2 linked regions of the Lepisosteus oculatus genome follow. The protein of the gene in region 2 interacts with the protein of the main gene of each other region in a pairwise test. Links are inferred from orthologs where the notes say so. Each region holds a gene or a part of one and is shown on either strand. Other genes may lie near its edges. The genes, in order: ras-related protein Rap-1b and rgl2.

What was found.
Region 1: the proteins of rgl2 (region 2) and ras-related protein Rap-1b interact in a two-hybrid assay, tested with the Homo sapiens proteins (2 studies listed by BioGRID and IntAct). The link is inferred for Lepisosteus oculatus from reciprocal best matches to the Homo sapiens genes RGL2 and RAP1B.

Annotation. Positions count from the first base shown.
Region 1 is NC_090702.1:23,662,875-23,666,788, forward strand, and holds the start of ras-related protein Rap-1b, read right to left. Parts: upstream 2,945-3,914; 5' UTR 2,808-2,944; intron 1-2,807. UniProt on the Homo sapiens protein: GTP-binding protein that possesses intrinsic GTPase activity. Contributes to the polarizing activity of KRIT1 and CDH5 in the establishment and maintenance of correct endothelial cell polarity and vascular lumen.
Region 2 is NC_090709.1:38,453,018-38,456,931, reverse strand, and holds the start of rgl2 (ral guanine nucleotide dissociation stimulator-like 2), read right to left. Parts: upstream 2,893-3,914; 5' UTR 2,874-2,892; intron 2,645-2,873; 5' UTR 2,634-2,644; coding exon 2,484-2,633; intron 1,281-2,483; coding exon 1,221-1,280; intron 806-1,220; coding exon 719-805; intron 20-718; coding exon 1-19. UniProt on the Homo sapiens protein: Probable guanine nucleotide exchange factor. Putative effector of Ras and/or Rap. Associates with the GTP-bound form of Rap 1A and H-Ras in vitro.

The sequences.
Region 1 (3,914 bases), on a different chromosome or scaffold from region 2:
CTACAGGTTCCTTTACAACCAGTTGCTGGGCAGGCAGTGCGGAATGATCCCTAAATCGTTTCTTAATGACTTTTAATAGTAAATCGCATTTCAAAAAGGGGTTCAAACCCAAACAAGACACCGCTTCCCCATCTGGTCCAACAGCTCTGTAAAAGCAGTCCCACTGGCGGCATTCTGCGGAAAGCAAAGAGACACGCGGACACGCCAAAGCACGGAGTTCCTTCCTGAACCTCGTACAGGACACGAGGAGGTCACACTGGCACGGTGCGCTCACTCAGTGACGTCCTTTTACACGGAAGGTGGGACAGACTGCAGGGTAACATTCCACTGGGCCATCAGCCAGCAAACGCGCCACAATGTGCTCTCCTAAGCCTTTTAAGAGAATAAAGACGAATCAATAATTCTTTTTTTTCCTTTCTATGCTTCAATCGGTACTAGGGGCCCCACTCAAGCTGCCGCCGCATTTCTTCACGGACAAAGGAGAACCACAGACACGCGTGTGCCAAACGACACGCTGACTTGCTTGTGCAAACGACAGCCCAAATTGCTCAAGGTGCCCTTATGTAATCCAACGCATCCAACCTACCCCGGTTCTGCTGAAGGCCGGGAGATGCCTTCTGCACTCGCAGTATAGAGTTTCAGGAGACGGGACACTCGGACCTGCTGAATCCCGATCGGTTTGTTTTATTGCTCTCCTAGGAGGATGCCCGGCTCTTCAGCAGATTCTCTTTAAAACCGGAGGGGGAGCTTGTTGTGCACCTTTATAGATCAGTCCCACTTGTTGCAGAGTGGTATGCTATCCCACAGCTGTTGCTTCTTGATTGCTATCTGCACTGCTGACTGAGTGTCCTAACCTAAATGGCATCTGATATGTCTTCCCAATGCCGAACTACAGGAAGAGACGAGGGAAATTGCATGTGTGCTGCATTACGGAGGCAAATATTAATTTGCGTTCCCTGCACATTTCCTGGTACTGGATTTTGAGAAAAGCAGCTCAGTGCAGGAGTGTCACAAAACATCAGACAAGCTAACAGAGAATTACTAGCATGCATGCAGACAGCAGCAGATCCCCGAGTGGAGAAATAAAGACAAGGACCATTTCCTTTCCCAAAGGCAAGACCTGAGCATGCTTTCTGTTGCAACGCATGGAGAAAGCAGACCATGGAGAAATGGAGATGATAACCAGTGATGCCATTTTCATGGTCAGACACAAAGACAATCCATGCGCAGATCTGAATTTTAACAACGCCAAACTTCTGGGACTTGGGAAAATTGTAATGGCGCGGGTAACATTTCAAGGAAAACCTTGCTCACCAATACATCAAAATGTATCAGCAGACTTTATCCAACATCAATCGCACCCACACAACAAAAACAGTTCACTTAGAGAGAGGTTAGACAGTATTTTGCATTCTCCATCAGCCAGAATCAGTATGCTGGGGGAAAAGAGAGTACATGCTCAACATATAACGTTCAAAATCCAAGACTGACAAAGAGTGGTAATTGTAATATCTCTTCTTCGATGTCTGCACATACTTGTACAGATGCATACGATCAAACTCGAATTCAAGAAACTCAACTTGCTCGGTGGGATAAAACACAGCGTGCTGTCCAGCGAAAATGGAAGGGTAACAAAAGTTTGGTCACAGCTCCATGAAACTCGTGTAAAACAAACTTAACGGGAAACTATACTCCTACGAAAACTAAGGCCTATTAAATTCAGGGTACGAGTCTGCTGATGGCTTAAAGCTGGGCCACATGGGACTAAATTGTTCTACGATGCATAAACTCCTGACGACCACCCAAGATGTTTAATCGAATCAGAAAATGACAAACCGTGCATACATTTAGCGCAATATTCTTTCATGCCACACATCACAGCATTCATCGGGTAAAGGAAAAACGCCTCTTTGTGTCAGAAAAAAACCCGGAATCGACGATTTTAAGGAAATGCATCCAACTGATAAAAGATTTCGCCCTTTTCAAGATATCGCATTTGTTCGAGGCTCCTTGCCAGTTTTAATTTAAGTCCTTAAATGACCATTTCTTCGTACGTGTGTCTTCGTGAGGGCTAATCAAGTGACATTTGGACGAAAAACTCAAAGATCCCCCTTGAGGACGCCTCGCCTTATCCCCACTCAGTTGTGAACTAGGCGGGGCACGTTATCAGGAACATCACACCAAATGAGTGCTTTGCTTACAACAAGCCTGCAAAACGCGCACCCCGGTAAAATAACGCTTCATCTGCCACTAGTTCGCTTTCCTCCGATTCACAAAGCTAGCAATCAGATCTTCCAACTCTAAAACGGGCCTGCTTAGCTGGGTTTTATTGTGACTAGGAACCGGAGACACCAAAAGAATTCGTAATGTGAACTACAATCTCGACAACTTTTCCATTTCCGTTTGAACTTCTCCGCTGTCACAGGCTAAAACACAACACAACGCCATTTCCCCAAGCCTCCTGCCACCCAGGCGGGGGTTCATCTTCACGTTTTCAGAGCTCAGAAGTTCAGTATGCGGCCACGGCAGCCCCGGAGAAACGCTGTGAAGTAAAACATTAGGAGTTGGGGGCTCTTCCACCCCAGCTCCGCCATATTTTAGAGACATTTGACCTGCTCTTCCGCAAACCGTGTTTTAATGCGTTTTTTTTAAAACCGGTTCCCGTATTCAACGGCGCAGAGGCTATCGCGCCGCCGCCTCGCCGGCATTTCGTGTCAACATTAAAAAGCCTCGGAAACGCGCTCCCAACGGCCTCTCTTTTCCAGATAACGTAGAAAAGTTACAATAAAAGCAGATACAGTACTTACAGTTTCGTCCTCTCCGCCGCTCCAATCTGTTTGCGCCTCTCGCCCTGCTCTCTCGATCTCTCCTATCTGGGTGAGGTTTTGAGTTTTTGCATGACGTTGCAGCCTCGGTTTCAGCACCAGTCACAAACTGAATTTACAACTGGACAGAGAGAAAGGCGAGACTGCCGATGGCTTATGTTCCTGTGTAGCATCCATACAGCGTGAAAATAAAGCAAAATACTACGTCTTTACGCTACGCAATTACACACAACAGCCGTCGTATAATATTTAAAGTCTTACTACATGTTTAAGTATGTAATATGTGCTGTAATTGCAAAACCTTTGTCATAAAAATGTATGGTGGGACGTTATGCACCATACTTACGCATTACATTTGTGCAAACAGATGAGGTGCGTTTTCCAGTCGTCTTTCTCTTTTTGCCATCGTAAATCAAATAAATGTCCTTATAAAAACAAGATGCAGCACGGTTTCCAATGTTTTCGTTGTCTGCATATCGGCTTCACATCCTAGCAGAAGAAATTCCTGGCATTTAGCCACAAAGAGTCCTGCAAATTGCAGGAGTACATTAAAGAATTAAACGGCCTTTAGAAACAATGAGAGAATTGGATTATTAAGATAAGTAATATTTATAACAATCGTTTATTATTATGTTAAAAATGTTTTTAAATTAACTTACAACTTTATGTTAATATGATGAGAGGTCATCTGCTATATCTGCAATACCATTTCTGAGTGTGGAATCAATATCGGATGGAAAGCTTTTTATAAGAGTGTAGAGCATCCCCGAACAGGAGATGTGACGTAAAAAAAGAATCCTCTCCGATTTTGTGAGGACTTCATTTTTTACTTTATTTTAGCCCAAATTCTTTTATGCCCAATTTTAAAAAAAGACTCACAAATTCCAGGTGCAAGCAATGAGCATAGCCGCAATCATTTGGGATCCTTAAAAACCCATTTTTGTAGACATAATTTTATGACAGTGAAATGGAAGAGCTGCATTGGCAACCCCTAAGACTAGAGAATGTCACCTTTTTCTGTTCTGTCTGGTCCCTGACAATTTCAATCATCAGAGCACTTTTCTCTAAGCCAAGAAATAAAGTTCTCCT
Region 2 (3,914 bases):
GGGAGCGCGAGACTGCGGGCTGGAGAGAGAGAGGGGGGTTAATACACACACACAGAGAGAGAGGGGGGTTAATACACACACACACTGAGAGAGAGAGAGAGGGGGGTTAATACACACACACACTGAGAGAGAGAGAGAGGGGTCAACACACACACACTGAGAGAGAGAGAGGGGTCAACACACACACACACTGAGAGAGAGAGAGAGGGGTCAACACACCCGCACACTGAGAGAGAGAGAGGGGTCAACACACCCGCACACTGAGAGAGAGAGAGGGGTCAACACACCCGCACACTGAGAGAGAGAGGGGGGTTAATAAACACACACAGAGAGAGAGGGGTAATACACACACACACTAAGAGAGAGGGGGGTTAATACACACACACAGAGAGAGGGGTAATACACACACTGAGAGAGAGGGGTTAATACACACACACTGAGAGAGAGAGGGGTTAATACACACACACACACAGAGGGGTAATACACACACTGAGAGAGAGAGGGGTTAATACACACACACAGAGAGAGAGGGGTATACACAGCGCACACTGAGAGATGCAGTTCTCACATATTTTAATGATCTCTCTGAAGATACTGACGTGTAGGCAGGGCCTGTGTCTCAGATTGTACACAGTCTTACAATGTGGACAGCGCCCTCTGTCCCTGACTATGGGTAACTGCAGATCACTTCACAACAGAAGAGTCATATAAGTCTCACCCCTGTCCCACTGGAGGTACTGGGCTGCTGTTTCACCACCACAGTGTAGATAAGACCTTCCTCCTCTACTTCCGACACAGCTGAGGACTGAGAGAGAGAGGGGTTCATACACACACACTGACTGGACACTCCAGTACATGAACACTGCACTGAGAGAGAGAGGGGTTCATACACACACACTGACTGGACACTCCAGTACATGAACACTGCACTGAGAGAGAGAGGGGTTCATACAGACACACTGACTGGACACTCCAGTACATGAACACTGCACTGAGAGAGAGGGGTTCATACAGACACACTGACTGGACACTCCAGTACATTAACACTGCACTGAGAGAGAGAGGGGTTCATACAGACACACTGACTGGACACTCCAGGACATGAACACTGCACTGAGAGAGAGAGGGGTTCATACAGACACACTGACTGGACACTCCAGTACATGAACACTGCACTGAGAGACAGAGAGAGAGACAGAGACAGAGACAGAGACTCTTACCGGCTCCAGTGGACAGTACCAGGTGGTCTTCATGTGCCCAGGGTCCGGTTTGTGTCCAGTCTGAGAACAGAAGGGAAGATCATGCCTGTGTGTCGGTGCTCTGCTCATATCCAGGAAGAGCGCAGCCCCAGTGACGTCAGCGCGACAGGGCTACCTCGGACAAGACCAGACCTGCACTTCCTGAGCAGCCTGAACCTCAGAACAGCCTGCAGGAATCAGACTGCTCTGCAGGGCCTGGGAGACCCCCTGAGTCTCTGTCTGAACCCCTGAGACTCTGTCTGAACCCCTGAGTCTCTCTGTCTGACCCCTGGGTCTCTCTGTCTGACCCCTGAGTCTCATTGTCTGACCCCTGAGTCTCTCTGTCTGACCCCTGAGTCTCTCTGTCTGAACCCCTGAGTCTCTCTGTCTGAACCCCTGAGTCTCTGCCTTAACCCCCGAGTCTCTGTCTGAACCCCTGAGTCTCTCTGTCTGACCCCTGAGTCTCTGTCTGAACCCCTGAGACTCTCTGTCTGACCCCTGAGTCTCTGTCTGAACCCCTGAGTCTCTCTGTCTGAACCCCTGAGTCTCTCTGTCTGAACCCCTGAGTCTCTCTGTCTGACCCCTGAGTCTCATTGTCTGACCCCTGAGTCTCTCTGTCTGACCCCTGAGTCTCTCTGTCTGAACCCCTGAGTCTCTCTGTCTGAACCCCTGAGTCTCTGCCTTAACCCCCGAGTCTCTGTCTGAACCCCTGAGTCTCTCTGTCTGAACCCCTGAGTCTCTCTGTCTGACCCCTGAGTGTCTGAACCCCTGAGTCTCTCTGTCTGACCCCTGAGTGTCTGAACCCCTGAGTCTCTATCTGACCCCTGAGACTCTGTCTGACCCCTGAGACTCTGTCTGACCCCTGAGACTCTGTCTGACCCCTGAGTCTCTCTGTCTGAACCCCTGAGTCTCTCTGTCTGAACCCCTGAGTCTCTCTGTCTGAACCCCTGAGACTCTCTTTTGGTTCAGAGGGCACTGGGCTGGGATGGAGAGCACTGGACTGGGTTATAAGGTACGGGACTGGGCTGTTTTATACAGGAAGTCTCCCTGCCCGTCTCTCAGTGCTCTGGGTTCAGGAAGTGCCATTGTCAGTGTGGACAATTGCAGGAACTAGCCGTGACCTCACGTCCACCCTCTGACCCCTCCCTCCTCTTCCTCAATCCCTCTCCCTACTTCGGGCTGTGTGTCGTGGGGTAGATCCGGGGAGCTCGGGTCTGACCCCTGGCTGTGAGACGGGGAACTCACCGGGGGCGTGTCCGCCTGCGTCCAGCCGCCTGGCTCCGCCCACCTCCCTTCACCCGGCGTCTCCAGGGGGCGGTACCCACTGAGGGTCACGCCCTGAGGCTCCTCCCCTCCCGGGAGGTCCGTACCACCACTCCACAGGCGGGGGAGCATGGCTCATACCACTGTCGGACACAGGGGGAGAGGACAAAGGGAGTTAGCGGACAGACATGACAACACTGACACACTGACACAATCGCACACTCACACACTGACTGACTGACACACTCACACAGACACAATGACTGACTGACACACTAACATACTGATACACTCACACTGACAAACTCACACACTGATTAATGCACTGACTGACACACTGAAACACTGATTAACACACTATCTGAGACTCACACACTGATTGACGCACTGATTGACGCACTGATTGACACTGAGGAATGTTTGTCAGATCCCAGAGTGCTTCTCACAGTGCAGCAGAAAGTCTCTATTTCTCCCCGCTGGCAGTGGGAGCACAGCCTGTCCTCTCTGGACAGCCAGGTCTGCCTGTGTCCAGTGTCTGTGTCCAGGCTGTGGTCACTGAGCCTGTCCTCTCTGGACAGCCAGGTCTGCCTGCGTCCAGTGTCTGTGTCCAGGCTGTGGTCACTGAGCCTGTCCTCTCTGGACAGCCAGGTCTGCCTGTGTTCTGTGTCTGTGTCCAGGCTGTGGTCACTGAGCCTGTCCTCTCTGGGCAGCCAGGTCTGCCTGTGTCCAGTGTCTGTGTCCAGGCTGTGGTCACTGAGCCTGTCCTCTCTGGACAGCCAGGTCTGCCTGTGTCCAGTGTCTGTGGACACTGAGCCTGTCCTCTCTGTGTAGTCAGGTCTGTCTGTGTCCAGGCTGTGGACACTGAGCCTGTCCTCTCTGGACAGCCAGGTCTGTCTGTGTCCAGTGTCTGTGTCCAGGCTGTGGTCACTGAGCCTGTCCTCTCTGTGTAGTGAGGTCTGCCTGTGTCCAGTGTCTATCAGACTATGGTCACTGAGCTTGTCCTCTCTGTGTAGTCAGGTCTGCCTGTGTCCAGTGTCTGTCCAGGCTGTGGTCACTGAGCCTGTCCTTCATCAGGGTCTGTTTCTCCTTGCTCTCTCTCTGCTGAGACACTCAGCCAGTGTGTGTTTATATGTATATTTAGTAGGAGAAACACAAAGAAAACACTCCCTGTCTCTCTCTCTACTTTGCATTAAACCGGTTGACTCTCTCTCTCTCTGCAGTTTCGGCCAACATGCAAATACTAAACAAACACACCTCCAGCTCTTGGAGAAGGAAGAGAAATACACCTTTCTTTGTAACTGATTACAATTCTGATTACAATCCCAGTGAATAACTAATCCAGCTCCCAGTCCAGTCAGTCCAGTCAGTCCAGTCCAGCCTGGAGAGTGTCAGACTGCTCTGTCAGTGTCAGTG